3 linked regions of the Stegostoma tigrinum genome follow. The protein of the gene in region 1 binds, or shares a complex with, the protein of each later gene. Links are inferred from orthologs where the notes say so. Each region holds a gene or a part of one and is shown in the gene's direction. Other genes may lie near its edges. The genes, in order: protein diaphanous homolog 1-like, profilin-2-like and ppfia3.

Region 1 (8,077 bases):
CCAAGTGGACAGGGTTGTTAAGAAAGCATATGGTGTTTTGGCTTTCATTAACAGGGGGATTGAGTTTAAGAGTCGTGAGATCATGTTGCAGCTCTATAAAACTTTGGTTAGACCGCACTTGGAATACTGCGTCAAGTTCTAGTCGCCCTATTATCGAAAAGATGTGGATGCTTTGGAGAGGGTTCAGTGGAGGTTTACCAGGATGCTGCCTGGACTGGAGGGCTTATCTTATGAAGAGAGGTTGACTGAGCTCGGACTTTTTTCATTGGAGAAAAGGAGGAGGAGAGGGAGAGGTGGAAGTGGAGAGGTGTACAAGATAATGAGAGTCATAGATAGAGTTGATAGCCAGAGACTATTTCCCATTGCAGAAATGGCTAACACGAGGGGTCATAGTTTTAAGCTGATTGGAGGAAAGTATAGAGGGGATGTCAGAGGCGGGTTCTTTACACAGAGAGTTGTGAGAACATGGAATGCGTTGCCAGCAGCAGTTGTGGAAGCAAGGTCATTGGGGACATTTAAGAGACTGCTGGACATGTATATGGTCACAGAAATTTGAGGGTGCATACATGAGGATCAATGGTCGGCACAACATCGTGCGCTGAAGTGCCTCTTCTGTGCTGTACTGTTCTATGTTCTATGTTCTATGAATGGCCCAATGTGAACCGGAAATGGCTATGTATTGAAAAATTTACATCAGCGCCAAGGGAAATGAGGAAACGTTGAAAGTGTGGGACCTACGTGTTCCTGTAAAGTGAATAGCGGGGCCAAATATTCCAGAGATCCCTGGATATCAGTGAATTTTTCAGTGCTGGATAAAGAGAAAGGGAAGATTTAAGTGGATATCAAGGGCTCAAAACAGCCCTAGAGGAGCACAAAAAGTGCATGAGCTACTTAAAAGAGAAATTTGCAGAGTGAAAAGGCGCATGACAGAGACGGTCAGAAGTTATTTAACCTGAGGGTCACCACACTTCAGTCGAGATGTTGAGAAGGAGAGTCCTTCACAGTAATGTCAATTGGTGCAGAAATTGAGCACATGCCACTGCCATCAGTTTGCATCGCAAACCAGCTCTACAACCAACTGAACTAAGGTAGCATATCCTTTGAAGAGCACCCTCCTAAAGAAGTAGCACAAATGAATCAGGGAGAATTTTGAGTCATAGAGTCACGGAACATAGTGGCAGGCCCTTCGGCCCACCATGTGTATACAGACCAACAAATTATACAAATCCTATTTACCTGCATTTGGTCCATAGCCTAATATGCCCTGACGTTTTAAGTACTCATTCAGATGTCTCTTAAATGTGATGCTTCTTTGATGAGGTGGTTGCTTTTTGAAAAGGTTTTGATTCACATAAATATTAATCTAAGCAAAAAACTGTGATTCATTCAAAACCAAGTGAGTAGGTTGCTGATAGATATTTAACTGTTCAAGGCCAATATGAAAAGATACTCCAGGACTGAAAAGGAAAGAGTTGGTTTAGAATTTATCTGCTATTTATATAAGAAGTTTTCCATAAACTTTCAAAATGAAATGGAAATACTTTAAAGGGTGAAAAGCTAAAACGAGAGAATAAAGTTGCCACCCCAGAAAGCTCGAAGGCCTAGCACGATATAATGTTGCAATCTGAAAAACAGGATATGGAAGTGAATCTGCAAGCTGTACAGCCAACAGACAAGACATTCGAGAGGGAGATCCTGAAACTTCAAGGCAAAACTTCAATGGCACATTTTTCAAATAGAAGCACTTGACAAAGTAAAGAATGACAGTATTGAGCTCAGACAGCAAATTGGCGAAGCGCATATTTAGCCCAACACTGTATCATTGAATGACTGGACGCCAATGATAAGCTGTAAGAAATGATGGAGAGTTTAAAAGAGGAAGGCTAAAAGGCAAGGAGTAATGCAAGTAGAGCTGCAAGCTTTTACTAGAAAAACCGATTGCAAAGAATTTGAAAATCATAAGCTGCAGAACTATTACACAGAGCTTGAGAGTACCAGGCTGAAAACCATCTGCTGCATGTTGCTTTTGCTTTGAAAGAAAGATTTACTTACTGTTACAACCAAGAGAGGAAGAGTAAAGCAGCAACTTCTCTTTCGATTCCTCCCACATCCTACAAAGGGGGTGGCCACGGGCACCTGCATGGGCCCCAGCTATGCCTGCCTCTTTGTAGGTTACGTGGAACAGTCCCTCTTCCGCACCTACACAGGCCCCAAACCCCACCTCTTCCTCCGTTACATTGATGACTGTATCGGCGCCGCCTCTGGCTCCCCAGAGGAGCTCGAACAGTTCATCCACTTCACCAACACCTTCCACCCCAACCTTCAGTTCACCTGGGCCATCTCCAGCACATCCCTCACCTTCCTGGACCTCTCAGCCTCCATCTCAGGCAACCAGCTTGTAACTGATGTCCATTTCAAGCCCACCGACTCCCACAGCTACCTAGAATACACCTCCTCCCTCCCACCCACCCTCCTGCAAAAATTCTATCCCCTATTCCCAATTCCTCCGCCTCCGCCGCATCTGCTCCCACGATGAGGCATTCCACTCCCGCACATCCCAGATGTCCAAGTTCTTCAAGGACCGCAACTTCCTCCACCGCAGTGGTCGAGAACGCCCTTGACTGCGTCTCCCGCAACACATCCCTCATGCCACAACTGCCCAAAGAGGATCCCCCTCGTTCTCACACACCACCCCACCAACCTCGGGATACAACGCATCATCCTCCGACACTTCCGCCATCTACAATCCAACACCACCACCCAAGACATTTTTCCATCCCCACCCTTGTCTGCTTTCCGGAGAGACCACTTTCTCCATGACTCCCTTGTTCAGTCCACACTGCCCTCCAACCCCACTACACACGGCACCTTCCCCTGCAACCACAGGAAATGCTACACTTGCCCCCACACCTCCTCCCTCACCCCTATCCCAGGCCCCAAGATGACTTTCCATATTAAGCAGAGGTTCACCTGCACATCTGCCAATGTGGTATACTGTATCCATTGTACCCGGTGTGGCTTCCTCTACATTGGGGAAACCAAGCGGAGACTTGGGGACCGCTTTGCAGAGCACCTCCGCTTGGTTCGCAATAAACAACTGCACCTCCCAGTCACGAACCATTTTAACTCCCCCTCCCATTCTTTACATGACATGTCCATCATGGGCCTCCTGCAGTGCCACAATGATGCCACCCGAAGTTTGCAGGAACAGCAACTCATATTCCGCTTGGGAACACTGCAGCCCTAATGGTATCAATGTATACTTCACCAGGCTCAAAATCTCCCCTTCCCCCACCACATCCCAAAACCAGCCCAGTTCGTCCCCTCCCCCCACTGCATCACACAACCAGCCCAGCTCTTCCCCTTCTCCCACTGCATCCCAAAACCAGCCCAGCCTGTCTCTGCCTCCCTAATCTGTTCTTCCTCTCACGCATCCCTTCCTTGCACCCCAAGCCGCAACTCCATTTCCTACCTACTAACCACATCCCACCTCCTTGACCTGTCCGTCTTCCCTGGACTGACCTATCCCCTCCCTACCTATACTCTCTTCTCCACCTATCTTCTTTTCTCTCCATCTTCGGTCCGCCTCCCCCTCTCTCCCTATTTATTCCAGAACCCTCACCCCATCCTCCTCTCTGATGAAGGGTCTAGGCCCGAAACGTCAGCTTTTGTGCTCCTGAGATGCTGCTTGGCCTGCTGTGTTCATCCTGCTTCACACTTTATTATCTTGGATTCTCCAGCATCTGCAGTTCCCACTATCTCCTTTTTAACTTTCTCTCTATCAATTTCAAAAAAATTTTTAAAAGTTTTTTAGATTCCCTACGGTGTGGAAACAGGCCCTTCGGCCCAACAAGTCCACACCTCCCCTTGAAGCATCCCACCCAGACCCATCCCCCTATAACCCATACACCCCTAAACACTACGGGCAATTTAGCATGGCTGATCCATCTAGCCTGCACATCTTTGTACTGTGGAAGAAAGCCGGAGCACCCAGAGGAAACCCACGCACACGGGGAGAAGGTGCAAACTCCACACAGACAGTTACCCGAGGCTGGAATTGAACCTGGGTCCCTGGTGCTGTGAGACTGCAGTGTTAACCACTGAGCCATCATGCCGCCACACAGCTATATGAAGTGTCATTTAAAATGCGATTACATCGATCAAAATGAAGAAGCCAATTACAATGTTTACTTGAATGTAAGAAAAAAAGACATTTTGAAATTAAAAATATAATAAAAGCACATCAAATACATACAGCATGACATAACTTTAAAAGAGAAAGCATCTGATACAGACAAGGTTATGCAGTTTTATTGTCCTTTGACTCCTTGAAGTGTTAAGATTTTTAACCTGAGACCAAATGTATTTGTTTTATAAAAACCAAAAGAACTGCAGATGCTGTAAATCAGGAACAAAAACAAAGTTGCTGGGAAAGCTCAGCAGGTCTGGAAGCATCTGTGAAGAAGAAAACAGAGTTAGTGTTTCAGGTCCAGTGACCCTTCCTCAGAACTGATGGTGGCTGGGAAATCATCAGTTTACATGCAGAAATTCGCGAGGTGGGTGGGGTAGGGAGTAAACGATAGGATAGAAGAGAGAGAAAGACACTTGGACAGACAACAGAGTTACTAACGATCAGGCTGGGAGAGTGAATAATTGTTAACGGGGATTGTTAGTGACCAACAACAGGAGGTGTGTAATGGCAAGCTATGTGGTAACAAAGCTGGATGAACACAGCAGGCCAAGCAGCATCAAAGGAGCAGGAAGGCTGACGTTTCGAGCCTAGACCCTTCTTCAGAAAAAAATTCAGGCCTGCTGTGTTCATCCAGCTGTACACTTTGTTATCCCTGGCGTTGAGGGGCTGTGTTTCATACTGTGTCAGTGCCTGCCGCAGGAGTGCAGCATTGCCTTTCTCCCCTGTGCCCCCACCTCGACCCCGCCCCCTCCCGCGAGCTGGCGCTCGCTGAGGGAGCAGCGTGGCTCCAAGGGCAGACGCTGCCCGGTCTCTCACACACAACCATCTGCAACAATTTATACAGAATATTTTAACTTCGTTTGTTCTCTCTGCCCACTTTCTGGAAGGAAACGGCATGTCATTACCATTTTGGCAAAAAGAAGTACCGTGAGGCGAGGGGAGGGACTTACAACACCACACCCTCCACCCCTCCCCGCTGAGCGGGCTCGAGTAGGAATCGCAGCCGGCAGCCCGCGCCTAGGCCCCGGGCTCTGGCCGTCAGCCGTTCACAGCGCTTGGCAAGAGTGGGAGGGGTTTCGAAAGAGAAGGACAGGAACAGTCCACTACACCCCTCCGCATTGAAAGAGCAGCCGAATGAGATACGTTGATCCAAGAGATTAGAGACTGAAAGGTTTCAGGAGAAAATAAGTTTACCACGGGAGCAATAAATAAGTAAAACCATGGAGGGAAGGAATGAGGCTTCAGGTCCTTCTAGGGGGAAGGAAAAGTCCGGTAAAATGAAGAAAAGCCTGGAGGAAGGAGAAAAGAAAACCAAATTTGTGAGTTCTTATGTTTGCCTTTAGAATTATTTTCTAATTTGGGGGGATAGCTGTGAAAGTGTGGAAGGTTTCACCTTTGTCTGAAGACCACAGTTGTGAGAGCAGCGCCCTTACCTGCCTGTGCAGGTACTCTGAAGGCCCCCATCTCTCAAAGGGGCACAGAGGCGTCCCAAAGAACAACCCCTGAGCTGAAATAGGCGCTGCCTCTATATATTTTCTCCCCAGTTGTGTATTTCTTTTTCTTGATTTCATCACGAACACTGTCGAGGCAGTGTCGGTGGTTCGGCGCAGCCGTCCTTTTGGCGCTCTGGCTGCCCCCACTTTTCACGAGAAGGAAGGTTATTGGGAGTATTGAGTTGATAATATGTGTCTATATGGGCGTGCAGAAGGCACTACTTCCCACTTGCAAAAGGAAAGTCTTTTTTTTCGCTATTGACACATTTCTGCTCAACCTGTCATGTTGCCGAGCACACTGACTCTCTCTCGTCCATAGTCATTGGGTCACGCCAAAGTTTAAAACTTGTTTAGCACGTTCGTACTCAGATTTCCGTTGGTCACTGCACTGAATTCAAATCAGCAAGCGAGAATTATTTTTGTTCAGCATTGTATATGTTGAGTGGAACAGAATTTGAACTGCACAAATAAAGTCTCGAAGTTCTTTTAAACTTAGCAATGCTGTATTATGGCTGTTCAGTACCAATCCTACAGTGCAAACATGTGGTCCGGTCAAATTTAAAAGGGGAGCTAAAGGCCATTCCTGTTTTGAGTTTTTGCATGTTTAAGATAGGTGCTCCAGCAGTGACGTATGCTAAAGGTAGTGGGGAGCCAGTTGTTCATTCCACCACCTAGACATGTGGCTAGCTGTCTGTTACACTGGATTCTACAAATCTTGGATCAGTGCTCTCCTGTTAATGTCTTTTAATCAAAGTTGTCTACTTAGCCACATGTTTTGATTTCCAAACGTTGTTATGCTTGTGTATATATGAAAATTTTTACAACAAAATTTTCTGCTGCAATGTTCGTGTTGCTTCTGAGGGTCTGCATTTTCACTTCCTTCACACCACAGTCCCCGGTCTCGTCTTCCTTCAATTTTCTTCTTTTTTTAAACATAGCCTTTCATGATAGTTATCTCAAATGTAACTGTCTTTACATGATAATACTGGCATAAGAGAAATGTTGCTGAGCTAGTTATACATAGATTCAAGCAAACATTTGGAGCACGTGAGCTTGAATCCATCAAAGCAGCTGGTGGAATCTAAACTTTATTAATAAAGTCTGGAATTTTTAAGCTGGTCTTATTCATAGTGACAGTGAAGTTATTGATTGTTGTAAAGATCTAGCTCATTCACTACTATCATTTAAAGGAGGAATTCTACCAGAGTTACCTGTTTTGGTCCACGTGTGGCTTAAGATCCAAAGAAATGTGATTGAGTTTTGACAAACAGTTTTCAAGGACTTTTGGAGTGATGAGCAACAAATGCTGACCTTGTCAGCAATGCCTACTTCCCATGAAAGCCTAAAATAAGTTTAAAAACAAAAAGAACTGCGGATGCTGTAAATCAGGAACAAAAACAAAGTTGCTGGAAAAGCTCAGCAGGTCTGGCAATATCTGTGGAGGAGAAAACAGTTAACATTTCTGGTCCGGTGACCCTTCCTCAGAACATTTGCCTCATTCCTCCTCGTGGGTCCTTGCTGTGCATAGATTGGCTAGATTTGCTTTCGCAACGATGATGACTAAATTTGTTATTCAGCTGTTTAAGGCAAGATATAAAATCAAGTCTTCATACCTGGAAAGCTAGTTGGGTCACCTGGGAAGTATTTCCCTTGTTTAAAGGTTGACTGTATTTGAAAATTGTTTATTTAATTCAAAGTACTGTAGGGAATTCAGGTGTTGTGAAAGATGCTATGTAAGTGTAGTATGTGCTATGTTTGCAACACTTAATTTCGCCATTCTAGAGTCAGAGTTGTAAAGCACGGAAACAGACTCTTTGGCCCAACCCATCCATGCTGACAAATATTCAAACTAATGTAGTCCCATTTGCCAGCATTTGGTCCGTGCTCCTCCAAAGCCATCTTATTCATATACCCATCTATGTGCCTTTCAGGTGTTGTGGTTGCACCAGTTTCCACTCCCTCTGGCAGCTTATTTTGATACGTACACCAGTCGTGCAAGAAAAAGTTGCCCCTTAGGTCCCTTTTAAATCTTGCCCCGCTCACCTTAAACCTATGCTGTCCAGTTTTTGACTCTCCCACCCTGGGAAAAAGCTTATGTATTCACCCTAACCATTGACCTCTGATTTTATAAACCTCCTTAAGTTTACCCTTCAGCCTCTGCTCCAGGGAAAATTGCCCCAACTTCTCCCGTGAGTTCAAACCCTCAAACTCCAGCCATATTCTTGTAAATCTTTTCTGAACCTTTTCAAACTTAACAACATCTTTCCTATAGCAGGGAGACTAGAAGTGAATGTACTATTCCAAAAGTGGTCTAACCAATGTCCTGTGCGGCCACAATATGACATCTCAATTCCTTTACTCGATGCACTGACCAGTGAAGCCAAGCGTACCA
Region 2 (7,920 bases), on another chromosome or scaffold:
GAACATTTTTTAGTTGGGTATTTTTGATGTGTCAATATCTAGAATAGTTTCCTGTAACAAATGGACATGAAAGAGCTTGCCTCTACAAATGTTTCTAAACAATTCATTTATGTATGCAATTGCTATCAGATGTAATATATACTAGTGAATTCCCCACTTTGCCTGAAGGCAAAGTCACTTAGCCACAACAAAGTCCTGTGGTTTTTAATTGTAGGTTATGTGATGATGGAGACCTTAAGTTTATCTTAACCAGAATATTGAGCGAATCCTGTGCTCATGTGATCAATCTGGTCAATGGGGCTAGCTAGTTCCCACTCCCAATCCCCCTCGGTAGATATGATAAAAAGCCTGCAGAAGATAAAAGATTAGATACCATTTCTATGTTCTTTAATGTGGTCTGCTTATGACAATAAGCCATTTGCTCAAGATTACTGCAAAATAAGAACATAAGAAAAAACAAAAACAAGAGTAGGCCATTCAGCCCTTTGATCCTGTTCTGTCATTCAATAAGATCATGGCAGACTTTTACCTCCACAGCCGAGAGATTACCAAAGATTCAAAGGAAATTGTTTCTCATCTTAGTCCTTTGCTAACTGACACCTGATTTGGAGAATGGGAGCCACAGTTCTAGATTCCATAGTTCAGGGTCCTTGTGCATGTAACACAGAAATCAAGCACACAATTGCTGCAGGTAATCAGGGTGGCTTATTTCAGTGTGTTTGGAGTATAAGAGTAAGGAAGGCTTACTGTAACTGTACAAGATGCCAGTGAGACCACATCTGAAGTACTGTACAGTTTTGGTCCCATAATTTCTGAAAATACATCATTTCCTTAGAAGCAGTTCAGAAAAGGTTCACGAGGATGATACTAAAACAGAAAATGCTGGAAAAACTCAGCAGGTCTCAGCATCAATGGAGAGAAATCAGAGATAACATTTCGGATCCAGTGACACATCTTCAGAATGATATGGAGGGATTGTCCCCTCCCCCCACTGCATCACAAAATCAGCCCAGCTTGTCCCCGCCTCCCTAACCTGTTCTTCCTCTCACCTATCCCCTCCTCCCACCTCAAGCCGCACCTCCATTTCTCACCTACCAACCTCATCCCGCCTCCTTGACCCATCCATCCTCCCTGGACTGATCTACCCCGTCCCCACCTCCCAACCCACACTCTCCTCTCCACCTATCTTCTCCTAAATCCATCTTCGGTCCGCCTCCCCCTCTCTCCCTATTTATTTCAGAACCCTCTCCCCATTCCCCTCTCTGATGAAGGATCTAGGCCTGAAACCTCAGCTTTGTGCTCCTGAGATGCTGCTTGGCCTCCTGTGTTCATCCAGCTTCACACTTTGTTATCTTGGAGGGATTGTCTGTTGGGCAAAAGCTAAACAGGTTGGGACAGTACTCAATGGAGTTTAGAAGAATGAGGTATCTCATTGAGAGGCATAGGATTCATTTGTGGTTCGCAGGGTAAGTGTTGAGAGGAGGTTCCCCTCATGAGAGAGTCTAGGATGACAGGAACAGTTTTGGGAGAAATGGGCACCAATTTAAGACTGAGATGAGGACCATTGCATGTCTTTGGAAACCCTTACCACAGAGACCTGTGGGGGCAGAATCATTGTATATTTAAGGCTAAGATAGATTCTTGATCAGTAGGGGAATCAAAGGTTATGGGGGGGAGGGGAAGGCAGGAAAGTAGAGCTGAGGAATGTCAAATCAGCCATGATTCTATTGAATCGTGGAGCAAGTTCAAGGGATTGAACGGCCTACTCCTATTGCTATTTCTTATGGTCTTATGATGATGGGGTGGGGGCACTGTGAGCAGAAATAATTTCTTGTTAGCCAGCTATTATTGAGAATTTAGTATCAATGAGATGTGTTGGTAAGATTGACATGAATTGGTCTTTCATTCCTCTTGAAACACATTAGATCTTGAGGAAGTCTTGATAGGGCGCACGCGGAAAGGATTTTCCTCTTGTGGGAGACTCTTGAACAAAGTTGGAGGTGGGTCACTGTTAAAAAAAAAGTGGTTGCCCATTTAAGTCAGTGATATCAGATGATCCCAAATCTTTGGAACTCTCTTCCTTGGAAGGCAGTTTTTGCATATTTTTAAGGTAAGGTATATAGATTATTGTTGAGCAAGGTGATAAAAGGGATGATGGGGTAGCAGGAAGGCAAGAATATGCAGCATTCAGATCAACCAAAATCCAACTGAATGGCAGAGCAGGCTTGAAGGTCTGAGTCCTGTTTCTAATTCAATCTTAATTCCGATTCTCAGGGGGCTGTTGTGGGTCAGTGGTTGTGTCCCTAACTCCGAACTGGGAGACCGAATTCAAGTCCTACCATGCCAGACGTGTCATTACATAGAATCACGCAGTACAGAAAAAGCCATTCAGCTCATTGAGTCTATATCACCAAACGTACACTGCTTTCACTCCATTGTAAAGTCAGAAGTACGGACGTTCACTGATCACATTCACGACTCTTCAGATGCTGAAACAGTCTATGTTCAATTACAATAAGGTTTGGACAATTTCCAGGCTTGGAGTGTCAAGTGGCAACGAACATTTATGCCTCACAAATGCCACGCCCAGGCAATGACCATCTCCAATAAAAGCCAATCTAACCACTGGCACTTCACATTCAATGGTGCTACCACCACTGGATCCCCCACCATCAACATCCTGGGGTTACCATTGGCCAGAAACTCAAATGGACTTGTCATATTATACAGTGGCTACAGGATCAAGACAGAAGCTAGGAATACTGTGGTGAGTAACTCACCTCCTGATTGCCAAGAGCCTCTGTACCATTTACAAAATGGTAAATAAGAAGTGTGATGGAATACTCCCCATTTACCTGGATGGGTGCAGGTCCAACAACATTCAAGAAGCTTGATAAAAACTGAAAGAACTGCAGATGCTGGAAAAGCTCAGCAGGTCTGGCAACAGAAGTTGCTGGAAAAGCTCAACAGTGTCAGTGTAGAAAAAACTTAGTGAACTAAGGAAGGGTCATCGGACCCAAAACGTTAACTCTGATTTTTTTCTTCACAGATGCTGCCAGACCTGCTGAGCTTTTCCAGCAATTTCTGATTTTGTTCCTCAAGAAGGTTGACACCAGCCAGGACAATGCAACCCACTGAATTGGCACCACATCCTCAAGCATCCATACCTTCCACCATTGACGCTCAGGAGCAGCAGTGTGTATAAGATGCACTGTTGAAATTGCCAGAGATCCTCAGACTGCGCCTTCCGAAACCACAAACAATTCTATCCAGAAGGAAAAGTACAGCTGATATATTGAAACAGCATCACTTGCAAGTTCCTCTCCAAACCACTCATCATCCAGATTTGGACATATATCGCTGTTCTATCAGTGTTGCTGGGTCAAAATCCTGGAATTTCTTCCCTCAGGGCTTTGTGGGCATGCTGGCTACAGCAGTTCAGAGGGCAGCTCACCACCACCTTCTCAAGGGCAACGAGATATGGGGAACAAATGCAGGCCAGCCAGGAATGCTCAAATCCCACAAATGAATAAACAAACACTTTCCCAGTCTAGACTCATAGCTTTGAATGTGATGACAATTCAAGTGTTCTTTCAAGCACTTATTAAAAGTTGTGAGATTACTGCCCTTCCAGGCAATTCATTCAAGACCTCCACCAACTTCTTGGCGAAAACGATTTTCCTCAAATTCCCTCAGAGCTTCCTGCCTTTCACTTTAAAGTGATTGCCCCTTGTTACTGACCCTTTGACTAAGGAAATCAGCAACTTTTGGTTCACACTAAGAACCTCACAGTCTTACCTAGCTCTGTCAGATCCCCTGTTGACAAATGGGGAAGGCTGAAGATCTGAGATAAAAACAGAATTGCCGGAGAAACCCAGCAGGTCTGGCAGCCTGAATACAGAGAGAAAGCAGAGTTAGCATTTCGATTCCAGTGACCCTTCTTCAGAACCCCGAACTAGATGATTAGAAAACATCTGTTGGCAATTGACATGAGTCCTTTATTCATTCATGCGATGAGGGTGTCACTGGCTAGGCAGCATTGATTGCCCATCCTTAAGAGTCAACCACACTGTTGTGGGTCTGAAGTCACATGTAAGCCAGACTAGGTAAAGATGGCAATAAAGGCATTAGTGAATCAGAGACAGTAGGAACTGCTGATGCTGGAGAATCTGAGGATAACAAGGTGTAGATAACAAAGTGTGAAGCTGGATGAACACAGCAGGCCAAGCAGCATCTCAGGAGCACAAAAGCTGACGTTTCGGGCCTAGACCCTTCAATCAGTTCATCCAGCTTCACATTTTATTATCTTGGAATTCTCCAGCATCTGCAGTTCCCATTATCTCTGACAAGGTGTAGAGCTGGACGAACATAGCTGGCAAGGCAGCAACAGAGGAGTAGGAAGGCTGACGTTTCGAGTCTGGATCATTCTTCAGAAAAAAAAATGAACCAGGAAACCAGTTGGGTTTTTCCTGACAATTGGCAGTATCTTTAGTCATCATTACATTCTTAATGATCCCCTCATGTTCTCAAAGTCTAGCGTAGCTAATCACTCCTGTATTTTTGAATGGAGTTAATCTGGAGGATTACTTGCTCTGAGTGTGTCTCCCTTTGTAACCATTCGGCCCGCACCCATGGCACCTATCCTCCCTGGGACGGGGCGGGGACAACAGTGCGGCTGAGCCGGCTGCCGCCCGCGCGCGCGCGCCCCGGACGGACCGGGTTCGGCGGGAGCGAGGAAATCAGGACGCACGCGCGGCAGGCAACGGCCGTGGATGGGGGCGGGGGGGGGGGGGGGCGGAGAGGAGCGCGCTCCGCGTCCTGATTTCCTCGCTCCCGCTCCGCCTCATTATAACGGAGAGCTCAGCCGGCGCCTCAGCCCAGAGAGAGAGAGAGTGTGTGAGCGCAGGTAGAAGAAAGAAAAGCGAGAGAGGGAGGGGGGAAAAAAACGGGAGAAAGGGGGGGAAAAAAAAAGTTTGCATAGATTTTTGACAGAACAAAACAAGGGAGCGTGAGGGGAAAACGTAAAATAAATCGACTTTTCTCCCTTTATTTTTCTTTCGGAGTTGCCCCTCTTTCTTGAAGAGAGCCATTTTTTTTATTTCGCCCCCCCTCCCCTTTCTCTTCACACGCCATCCGTGAGCTGGGAGTTTTCTCTCGTTTAATTTTTTTTGGGCTGGTTACCTCTTTTTCTCCCGCCCTCTTTTATTTTTCTTCCCCCTTTTTTGTTTCTTATTTTATTTTCTCCCTTTTTTTTTGTTTGTTGAGTGAGGGGGATAACTGTAGTTAGACCATGTCCGGCTGGCACTGTTATGTGGAAAACCTGATGGCCGATGGAAACTGCCAGGACTCGGCCGTCGTCGGCTACACGGACGCCAAGTACGTCTGGGCAGCGGCTCCCGGAGGCACCTTCTCGGTTGTAACGGTAAGGGAAGGGAGGGGTTGTGGGGGGGCTCTGGGGGGGTGGGGAGAGGGGAGTGTTTGGTGGTTAAGATTTGAACGAAACCGTGTAAATTATTAACATTAAAAATTAGGTAGGGGTTAGTGGCGGTGGTTGGTTGTTGTGGGGGGTGGGAAGCGAATGCCTAACGAAACGTTTTGCCCTCTAATCGGGGAATAAAACGGAGTTAAACCAACGATCGATCTCTTACTCTCTCTCCCCTTTTTAAAAAAATAACATAAACAGGCATCATTAGGGGAAAATACAAAATCGTGTCCCCTCTCCCCCCATCTTTTTGTTTTTCGATATACAGTATTTTTGAAAATGTTTGCCGGGGACAAGGAGGCATCAAGTTTCTTCACCCCTCCTTTTCTCCCCCCGCCTCTTTTTGCTTCCCCCCCCCATTCGAAATGGGGGTGGTTTTTATTATTAACTCTGTTTTTTAAAGGAAGCCACTTATTGCCCAGGCCCTGACCATTAATTGCACCGGTGTGTGCGGTTATAAAATGGCGCCGTCTCCATCTTCTCATTCCACCCCCCCCCCCCATCCGACCCCAGCCCCCACTCCCACCCCCTTCTTTTCCCCCTCCTTTTTTCTACCCGATTTTCTGTCTGTTATCCCCCTCTTTTTTTCCATCCTCCTTGTGTTTCCCCCCACATTTTTTTATCAGCCCCCCCCCCACCTCCCGTGTATGTGTGTGTGTGTGTGTCCCTTGTTCCCTCCTCCTTTCTCTCTCTTCTTTCCCCCCCCCCCCCCCAGTTTTGATGCTATGATCACTGGTAAAGAGGGGTGGGGTGTGGGGACGAGAGAACACTGAACTGTCTCCTCAAAGACTGAGGGAAGGCTTGGGGAAGGGTATTTGCATGGGGAAGGGGAAGGGGAAGATGTTGTTTAAAATTGTCCTTCTACCTCCTAATTATAAACCTCCTTGATGTACTTTTGAGACAGTTGGCTGTCTTACCAAAGGGTTAACTAATCACGTTTGGGAAATGGTTTTTAATTATGTGCTTCCTTTTTGTTTTTGCATCTAATAATATAATTTTTTAAAATCCTTGTGATTTAAATCAAAAGTACATGTTTGAAATCGTTTTTATTTTTAATTTCCTATTTGGTTTTGATATTTTTTCCCAGTGTAAAGGCAGATTGCTGATTCTGGTAGAAAATTCTAGAAAACTTGCTGTGTGGCCAGCCTCGTCGTCCTCTGTGCATAACGATGGAGATTGCCAGTTTCAAATATATCTTTCCTAATCGTTCACATTCAGGGTTTTCATCATGAAATGAGGAGCAGTGCTTCTGTCTGTCTACAGCTTAAGAATCACTGCACTTTTTAAAGGGAAATATGTTAATTCTCCCTTTTTCATGTGGACTTAATACTGCAGAAAGATCAGGCAAAGGTAAAGGTTTTCTCTTTAAATAGGAGAACCTAATGTGCTTCATGGTGAACTTATGAAATTGTACTCTTATGGTGGGGGATTTGGCAGAGTCTGTGTGTTGCAGCATCATTTGTAGAAAGTAATCTTGTTTGTAACTCCTTAACACCCTAAGACTTATTTACATTGCTTTTTAAATCAAATTGAAGTATGTAAAGATGAGGCCCATTTGAACCTGATCTTTTCTTTTTGCCAAGTTCCCATCTTGTAGGCAAGAAATTACTGTTAGTGAAACTGTCTAGGAATTGTGCTTTCTGGTGTTTGTGGTTCACAGGGTTAGGGTTCTCATATTGCTGAATTATTAGCTTTTTTCTTCCTTCCTGTTGTGGTTTTTTGTGTATGAGCGTTTTGTTCTGATTTCTCTTCTCTTCCCCCCGCCCCCCCCCCCCCCCCCCCCCCCCCCCCCCCCGCCCCGGCCTGCAAGGCATGACTGTGCAGTTCAGCTCAGATGTGGTGGGAGGGCGCAGTTTTCCATGTCAGAGCGGACATCAGCTACTTTTTTCCCCTTTTAAAAAAACATTATGCTGAAATGGGCAGATGTTTTTAAGCTTAATTTTTTTTGTCAAAATGCATAGGAACTTCAACTGGCCCAACTCATTATTTTAATATTTGGAAGGATTTGTTTCAAATGACCTTTAAACCTGTAATAATCAGGCTCATTGAGACCTGCCCATCTATGAGCAGTGTAAGGATCCCTTAGTCTTCACCGTATTTGGAATGATTTAAGCGTAAATTGATTTAAACATTTTGTACTTGCAGGAGGAGCATTTGGAATGTTTTTGGGCTGTTGAGTTTCCCTTAGTTCAGCCAAGTGTACTACTGCCCTTGACTTTGCTGGTATACGTCTGGTAAACTAACGTGAGGTTATTTAGAAGCAAATTACTCAGAATGCAATATGACAAACTTCTGGAATTGGACTATATTCAAGTATCACTCGAGATAAGCTCCCAAGGGGGTGTGTCACTATGTCGTTTGTTTGCTTTTAAGTTTTCAGCCACAAGAGTTACTTGTCTTCTCAATTAGGCTTATGATAAGCCTTCTAATTTGCACTC
Region 3 (7,026 bases), on another chromosome or scaffold:
GAGTGAAATGCTCATGTGGAGAACCAGCACTGACATGATGGGCTGAACTGTGCCTCTCTGCTCTGAAATCGTTCTGTGATTTTATTTCATTTAAAAGCAGTGTGACGAGTTTTAATGAAGTAATGTGTAACAGGTAAACAGTATTTAATACTTCCGCTGGCCTGCCCTACACTACAACCACAGCAGTGATAACAGGAGGCGTTAAAGAAAGCATTTGTGGAAAACGGTTTCAGCAACAGAGGCAACGCTGATTAGAACGCAATAAACTGACCAGAATAAGCAAAAACAGGCCATCCATAAACTAGAATAAATATGGTCCATAAGTGGAAATACTCCATTTCAAACTGCCAGGTGCCTCCACAGCAAAGTGGAAATGTCCTACCCAACCCAAAGGTTGGAAGTGGGAAGAATGTGAGAGAGGAGACAACGGTACGGAGCGGACTGTGCTTCATTGTGTGTCGTAGGCTGGCCCTTCTAAGTTAAGTTGATGCTACCGAGAATCTGTGTAACCCTAACAATCATCGAGTGAGGTACAGTACAATCAAAAAGAAAACTCTACTCTCGCCGAAATAAACTAAAAAGATGCCGCAAATGATTGGCTCGGTCTGGCAAAACCAGCAAAGCTGACAGGCAGGCACGCTACTGTTTGGAACGCTGGAAGCCTTTAGTGTTATGGCGCACCTTAATATGGACGAAACCTTCACTGACCAAACATGCCTGGTGATGCCAATGCACACAAAGCTGTGGGGCAAAGGCTGGGAAGTGGGATTAGAATAGTGTGGTGGTTGTTTCTGACCAATCAGGATGCAGTGGGGCAATGTAGAGCTGTACGAATCTAAAGTGCTGAATGGGGTCCTCTTGCCCAACAACACTTCTGTGATTTTGAAGGGAGGATGCAGGCTAATGCCTGTTTGCTTATTTCTGAATGCGCATTCCCACCCTATCTTCCAAAGAAGAAAGGGGGGAGATCAGTTTGGGACACCTTGCGGGAAGGCTGAATGGCCTCTTAGCTGAAGAGAAATGTAGGTACACTGGGGGCAATTCAGAGGAGGTTTACTAGATTCCAGAGGTAAGGGGTTTGCTTTATGAAGAGAGATTGAACACTTTAGGCCTATAGTCACTAGAGTTAGCAGAATGAGAGGCGATCTAATTGAGGTGTATGAGACACCGAAGGGGATTGACAAAGCAGACGTAGAGAGAATATCTCCTCATTTGGGGCAATCTTAAACAAGTGACCCTGGTTTTAAGATAATGAGTGGCATATTTAAAACAGAGATGCAGAGGAATTACTTCTTTCAAAAGGTCACGAATCTGTGGAAATCACTGTCCCAGAGTGTGGTGGATGCCAGGACATTGAGTAAATTTAAGGAGGAAATCAACAGATTTTTAAAGATTGAAGGATCACGGAGAATGGGCAGAAAAGTGGAGTTGAGGCCGAGTTGAAATCGGTATGATTTTATTGAATGGGGGAGCAGGCTTGGAGGGCTGAATGGCCTACTTCTATTCCTGGTTGTTATGTTCTTGTGTCCTGCATCAAAACACTTCTGTGACTTTGGAGAACACGGGCCGACGACACGATGACAGCATGCAAAAGGTTTATTTTGCTGCATGCATTCCCATCCTATCTTTCAAAACAGAATTGGAGACAGCTCAGAGGAAACTGAACCTTTTCAACTCAAGCACTTTTAGGCTCTGGTGCAGACAGAGTGGGCTGAATAGCCTTCTTCTGCACAAAACACTTCTGTAATTTTCATTTTATATGGTGGAGCAGGCTCAGGGGACTGAATCGCTTATGCTACTCCTAGTTTCTATAAATACAGGCTGATGACTGCATGCGATCATAGGCTTCTTGCTTAGCATGTAGTCCCAGCCTATCCCAGTCATCCATTTTGGTAGGAATAACAGCAAAATGGACTATGTTTTAAAAGGTAAAAAACTGCAGCATACTGCTGTGCAGAGGGACTTGGGTGTCCTTGTGCATGAATCGCTGAAGGTGGGATTGCAGGTGCAGCAGGTGATTAAAAAGGCAAATGGAATTTTGTCCATCATTGCTCGAGGGATGGAGTTTAAAAACAGCTGCAGCTGTATAGGGTCCTGGTGAGGCCACTCCTGGAGTACTGAGTGCAGTTTTTGTCTCCTTACTTGAAGAGATATACTAGCACTGGAGGGGGTGCAGAGGAAATTCACTCGGTTGATTCTAGAGTTGAGAGGGTTGGATTATGAGGAGAGACTGAGTAGGCTGGGATTATACTCATTGGAATTCAGAAGAATGAGAGGAGATCTTATCGAAACATATAAGATTATGAAGGGAATAGATAAGGTGGAGGCAGGGAGGTTGTTTCTGCTAGCAGGTGAAACTAGGACTAGGGGACATCGCCTCAAAATAAGGGAAAGCAGATGTAGGACTGAGGTCAGGAGGAACTTCTTCACCCAAAGGGTTATGAATCTGTGGAATTCCCTGCCCGGTGAAGTGGTTGAAGCTACCTCGCTGAATGTTTTTAAGGCAGGGATGGATAAATTTTTGAACAGTAAAGGTTTTAAGGGTTATGGTGAGTGGGCGGGTAAATGGAGCTGAGTCTCAAAGATCATCCATGATCCTATTAAATGGCAGGCCAGGATCGAGGGCCCAGATGGTCTACTCCTGCTCCCAGTTTTTATGTTCTTCCAAAAAAACCCAGAATGATTGATTTGGGGCATGTTGCTGGAAAATGGACCTCTTAAATCTGGGCAATTTTGTTTACCTAGGTGCAGACACAAGGGCTGAATGGCCTCCATGTGCACCAAAACACTTCTGTAATTTTTGAAGTGGAGAATACGGGCTCACAAAAACCTGCAAAAGGCTTATTTCTGTATTCCCATCATAAGTTCCATAATGAAGGGGAGATTGATTTGGGACAGCTTGGAGGAACATGGACCTTTTAAAGCATTGTAGATATGATGAGCCGAATGGTCTCCATCTGCAATGAAACAATTCTGTAATTTTGGAAGGGGAAAATGCAGCATAGTTTAAGGATGGCACAGTGTCTCAGTAATTGGCCTGCTGGCTCACTGCACCAGGGACATGGGCGCAATTCAACCCTCAGGGGACTGTCTGTGTAGAGTTTGCACATTCTCCTCCATGTCTGCGTGGGTTTCCGCTGGATGCTGTGGTTTCCTCCCACAGCCCGAAGATGTGCAATTTAGATGGATTGGCTGCACTAAATTGTCCGTGGTGTCCAGGTTAGCTGCATTAGCCGTGGGAAATGCAGGGTGGGATTGGGTCTGGCGGGAGTGTTCGTCAGTGGGTTGGTGTGGACTTGTTGGGCCGAATGGCCTATTTCCACATTGGGGATGTTAATGAATAATGACTCAATGCAGGCAGATGACTGCAATGCAAAAGCCTTATTTCTCAGCATGCATTCCCATCTTAAGTTTCCTAATGAAGGGGAAAGCTTGCAGGAACCCGGACCTTTTAAAACTGAGTATCCTCTGGCTGAGTTGCAGACACAGTGGGCCGAACGGTCTCCATTTGCACCAAAAGCACTTTTCCGGTGATTTTGGAAAAGCGGAGGGGGGGAACGCAGGCTGACGACTGCAATGCAAAGGAAAAGGCTGATTGTGCAGCATGCATTCCCATCCTATCCTCCAAAAAGGATGGATTGGGAACAGCTTGCGTCCAGTCAGATCTTGCAGTGCCTTTGCATTTTGTGGGGAGTATAGTAGGGCAGTGGCTGGGAGGGAGGAAGAGGCAGAACTCAGGTTTACCGCACCTGGCCCAGCCCAGCGAGGTTTAAGCATGACATCATCCCCCAGGCAGGGTCCCGCCCTCCAGCCGCCGCCCTATTGGCCGCAAGCCTGCCCGGGCCCAGTCCCTTCCGATAGGCCGCCGCGGCTGTCACTCAGGATGATTGACATCCCGGGGCGCTCCTGCAGCTGATGAGACTGAGCTCCAAGTTGGGAGTTAAAGGTAGGCGGGCATTGCAGGGACGGATTCTGGGAACCTTATCTCCCTTTTTTTCAATGGGAAGTAGTGGATGAGTGAGGGAACCTCTCTAATTTCTATTTTTACATGGTGGGGGAAGGGGAAGGGGGGATTTAATTGCACTAGCCTGAAATTCTTCCCCCCTACACAATCTGCCCTTTTGCAGATTGCAAGGAGAAGAGATGCAGGGGTAAGGGAAGGGGAAGAAGAAAGAAGGGAGAGAGTGAAGGCTGGAAGCAGGAGAGGGCAAGAGCTGGAATCCTGGCTTGCAGATGTGAGTATATAATGCATGCCATTTGAGATTACGGACTGATAAATGGGTGCATCCCCCCCGCCACCAGCCCGTTTTTATTTTAAGGATGCTTGATATTTGGGGAGGGAGGGAGGGAGTTGGAGGTGCTTTCAAGTGAGATTTCTACAACATTGTCCCCCACATCACGATTTTTCTTGCAATTTTTTTTCTTCTTCAATTACAACATGCAGGAGTGTGGGAGGACTTGCTGAAAGGTTGAGGGTCGGTCTCTTTCGTGCGTGTTTTGATTTTTTTTAAAATTGCCATCCTCTACCACCCACCCTCCCCCATTCCCCTACCTTCCTGCTGAGAGAGCAAGAGAGACATTCACGACTCTGATTCAGGATGAAGGGTACATCGAGTGATTTGTGGGGCTGGAGATTAATTGCCTGTTCTTTTTTGGCAAAGGGAGGGTGAGAGAGAGAGCAAATTCTGTCTCTAATATGCACTTTGTGTTTGATAACTCGTCTGTGTAAAGCGGCAGATACAATCTGTACAGTTATGCGTGCATCTTTTGGAAATACAAATAGTTTAAGTTTAGAAATAGCCAGAATCTATGTAGGGCGCAGATGATCAATGATTTCGCAACCCCTTACATTTTCAACCGGATCTCTCTCTCATGTCATGATTCTGTGGGTTTTAGGTTCCTGTGGTCCGTGCACCAAAAGCAAATCTAGTCCAAAATAAAATGCACCGTTTCAGTGATTAGATAAGGGGAAAAAGAGGAGGGCATTTTATATAGATGTAAATTCTGCATTTAAAACGTGATGGTTTTTAAATACCTGCATCTGCACTGCCTTGATTGCTAACACCGCCTGTCAGAGATTTAAATCCATATATCATTGACTTCCATTACTGGCTGATCAGGATTCGACTGTGCCTTCCATAAAAAGAAAGGATGCAGTGTTTATATGTATACAAGCATACTTTTTCTTTAAAAATGAGCAACTAAAATCGTTGCTACTTTCAGAATGCACGGATCTAAATTCATCTGAAGCTAGCCTCCGTCAATGATTATTGGTGCTAATCGCGATTTGTAGCGAGCAATTCATTACCAGTAACTACACATGATTCCCTTCAATGCGCTAGGTTTATCATAACTATATTGTGCCCCAATGGTATTTGAACGGCGTCTGTGCAGTGATTAACTCGGTAGATAATTGTAATGTGTTGGTCTGCAGGCCGTAATGATGGATGCCTTTGAGAAACAATTCAGAGTGCTGTGGATATGATTTAAAAGGTGACTTAGTTCACAATGTACAGTTTACTTTTCCTTCCGCACTACTGGAGAAGAATCACCTATGTGACCCCCACCCCCTGTAGTGGAATCAGTGCAGAATGGGGCCATGTGTATTTGCATTTGTGTGTCTGACTTCTGACAGTACCACGCAAATTTGCATTCCTGTGAATAGAAGCAGCTTCATCTGTCATTTTTGTTAAAAAATGGAAACTGGAAAATGGAGTAATTGAATTTTGAGTCTAGCAAGAAGATTACTTTAAGATTTGAGTTTTTGTTTGAAACAGGGAAATCTGGGTCCTGATGGAGGTGGACAAACGCAGTGGGGTGAGGCTCTTTTCTTTTTCCAGAGCATGAACGAGTCAGGCCAAATGGCCCGTATCGGTGCTGTAAATTGTGTCACCGTTGCCTAGCACCCTTGGCTGGAAGTGTGGTGTTGTCCAGCTTGAAGGTTCCTGATGGATGTTAGCATCAGCCCTCCTGCAGTCAGTGAAACTTGGGGCAGTGTGACTGAACGTTGAGACGTTAGGGAGCAGGCTCATAGTCCCTTGAAAGTGGAGTTGCAGGGAGACGGAATGGTGAAGAAGGCGTTTGGTATGCTTTCCCTTTATTGGTCAGTGCATTGGATGTGAGAACAGAAACAACTGCCGATGCTGTACATCAGGACCAAAAACAGAAGTTGCTGGAAAAGCTCATGCTCTGGGGAAAAAAAAGAGCCTCACCCCACTGCGTTTGTCCAACTGTTAAGAAAACATCAGAATTAATGTTTCGGGCCTCCCCGGACCTGAAATGTTAACTCTCAGTTTTTTCTTCACAGATGCTGCCAGACCTGCCGAGCTTTTCCAGCAACTTCTGTTTTTGTTGGTGTTGGCATTGACATTGAGTATAAGAGTTGGGAGGTCATGTTAAGGCTACACAAGACATTAATTAGACCTCTCTTGGAATACAGTGTTACAGCGTGGTTAGCACATCAGCCTCACAGCGCCAGGGACCCAGGTTCGATTCCAGCCTCAGCTGTCTGTGTGGAGTTTGCACATTCTCCCCATGTCTGCGTGGGTTTCCTCCGGGTGCTCCGGTTTCCTCCCACAATCCAAAGATGTACAGGTTAGGTGGATTGGCCATGCTAAATTGCCCATAGCGTTCAGGGGTGTGTGGGTTATAGGGGGATGGGTCTGGGTGGGATGCTCCAAGGGGTGGTGTGGACTTGTTGGGGGAAGGGCCTGTTCCCACACTGTAGGGAATCTAATCTAATCCAATTCTAATCTAATTCTAATCCCCCGCTATAGGAAGAATGTTGTGAAACTTGAAAGGGTTCAGAAAAAAATTACAAGGGTTGCCAGGGTTGGAGCTACAAGGAGAGGCTGGATAGGCTGGGTCTATCCTCCCTGGAATGTCAGAGGCTGAGGGGTGACCGTATAGAAGCTTATAAAATCATGAGGGGCACGGATAGAGTGAATAGCCAAGGTCCATTCCCCAGGGCAGGGGAGTCCAAAGCTAGAGGGTATAGAGTTAAAGTGAGAGCGGAAAGATTAAAAG

What was found.
Region 2: the proteins of protein diaphanous homolog 1-like (region 1) and profilin-2-like are in contact, whole or in part, in a crystal structure (PDB 2V8F), measured with the Mus musculus proteins. The link is inferred for Stegostoma tigrinum from reciprocal best matches to the Homo sapiens genes DIAPH1 and PFN2. Residues at the interface, in NP_031884.1 of Mus musculus: Ile635, Pro636, Pro637, Pro638, Pro639, Pro640, Leu641; in NP_062283.1 of Mus musculus: Ala2, Gly3, Trp4, Ser6, Tyr7, Asn10, Ala28, Tyr30, Trp32, Arg108, Met131, Tyr134, Leu135, Ser138, Phe140.
Region 3: the proteins of protein diaphanous homolog 1-like (region 1) and ppfia3 are in contact, whole or in part, in a crystal structure (PDB 4UWX), measured with the Mus musculus proteins. The link is inferred for Stegostoma tigrinum from reciprocal best matches to the Homo sapiens genes DIAPH1 and PPFIA3. Residues at the interface, in NP_031884.1 of Mus musculus: Lys252, Ser255, Ala256, Ile259, Gln307, Asn310, Ala311, Thr314, Pro315, Ala316, Glu317, Arg322, Gln352, Cys354, Val355, Glu358, Gln359, Glu362; in NP_084017.2 of Mus musculus: Pro719, Arg720, Arg723, Leu724, Arg726, Met727, Ala728, Ala730, Leu731.

What each region holds. Positions count from the first base shown.
Region 1 is NC_081366.1:6,062,784-6,070,860, forward strand, and holds the start of protein diaphanous homolog 1-like, read left to right. Parts: upstream 1-4,998; 5' UTR 4,999-5,412; coding exon 5,413-5,511; intron 5,512-8,077. UniProt on the Homo sapiens protein: Actin nucleation and elongation factor required for the assembly of F-actin structures, such as actin cables and stress fibers. Binds to the barbed end of the actin filament and slows down actin polymerization and depolymerization.
Region 2 is NC_081367.1:67,362,771-67,370,690, forward strand, and holds the start of profilin-2-like, read left to right. Parts: upstream 1-4,838; 5' UTR 4,839-5,290; coding exon 5,291-5,422; intron 5,423-7,920. UniProt on the Homo sapiens protein: Binds to actin and affects the structure of the cytoskeleton. At high concentrations, profilin prevents the polymerization of actin, whereas it enhances it at low concentrations. By binding to PIP2, it inhibits the formation of IP3 and DG.
Region 3 is NC_081391.1:19,530,257-19,537,282, forward strand, and holds the start of ppfia3 (liprin-alpha-3), read left to right. Parts: upstream 1-3,948; 5' UTR 3,949-4,235; intron 4,236-7,026. UniProt on the Homo sapiens protein: May regulate the disassembly of focal adhesions. May localize receptor-like tyrosine phosphatases type 2A at specific sites on the plasma membrane, possibly regulating their interaction with the extracellular environment and their association with substrates.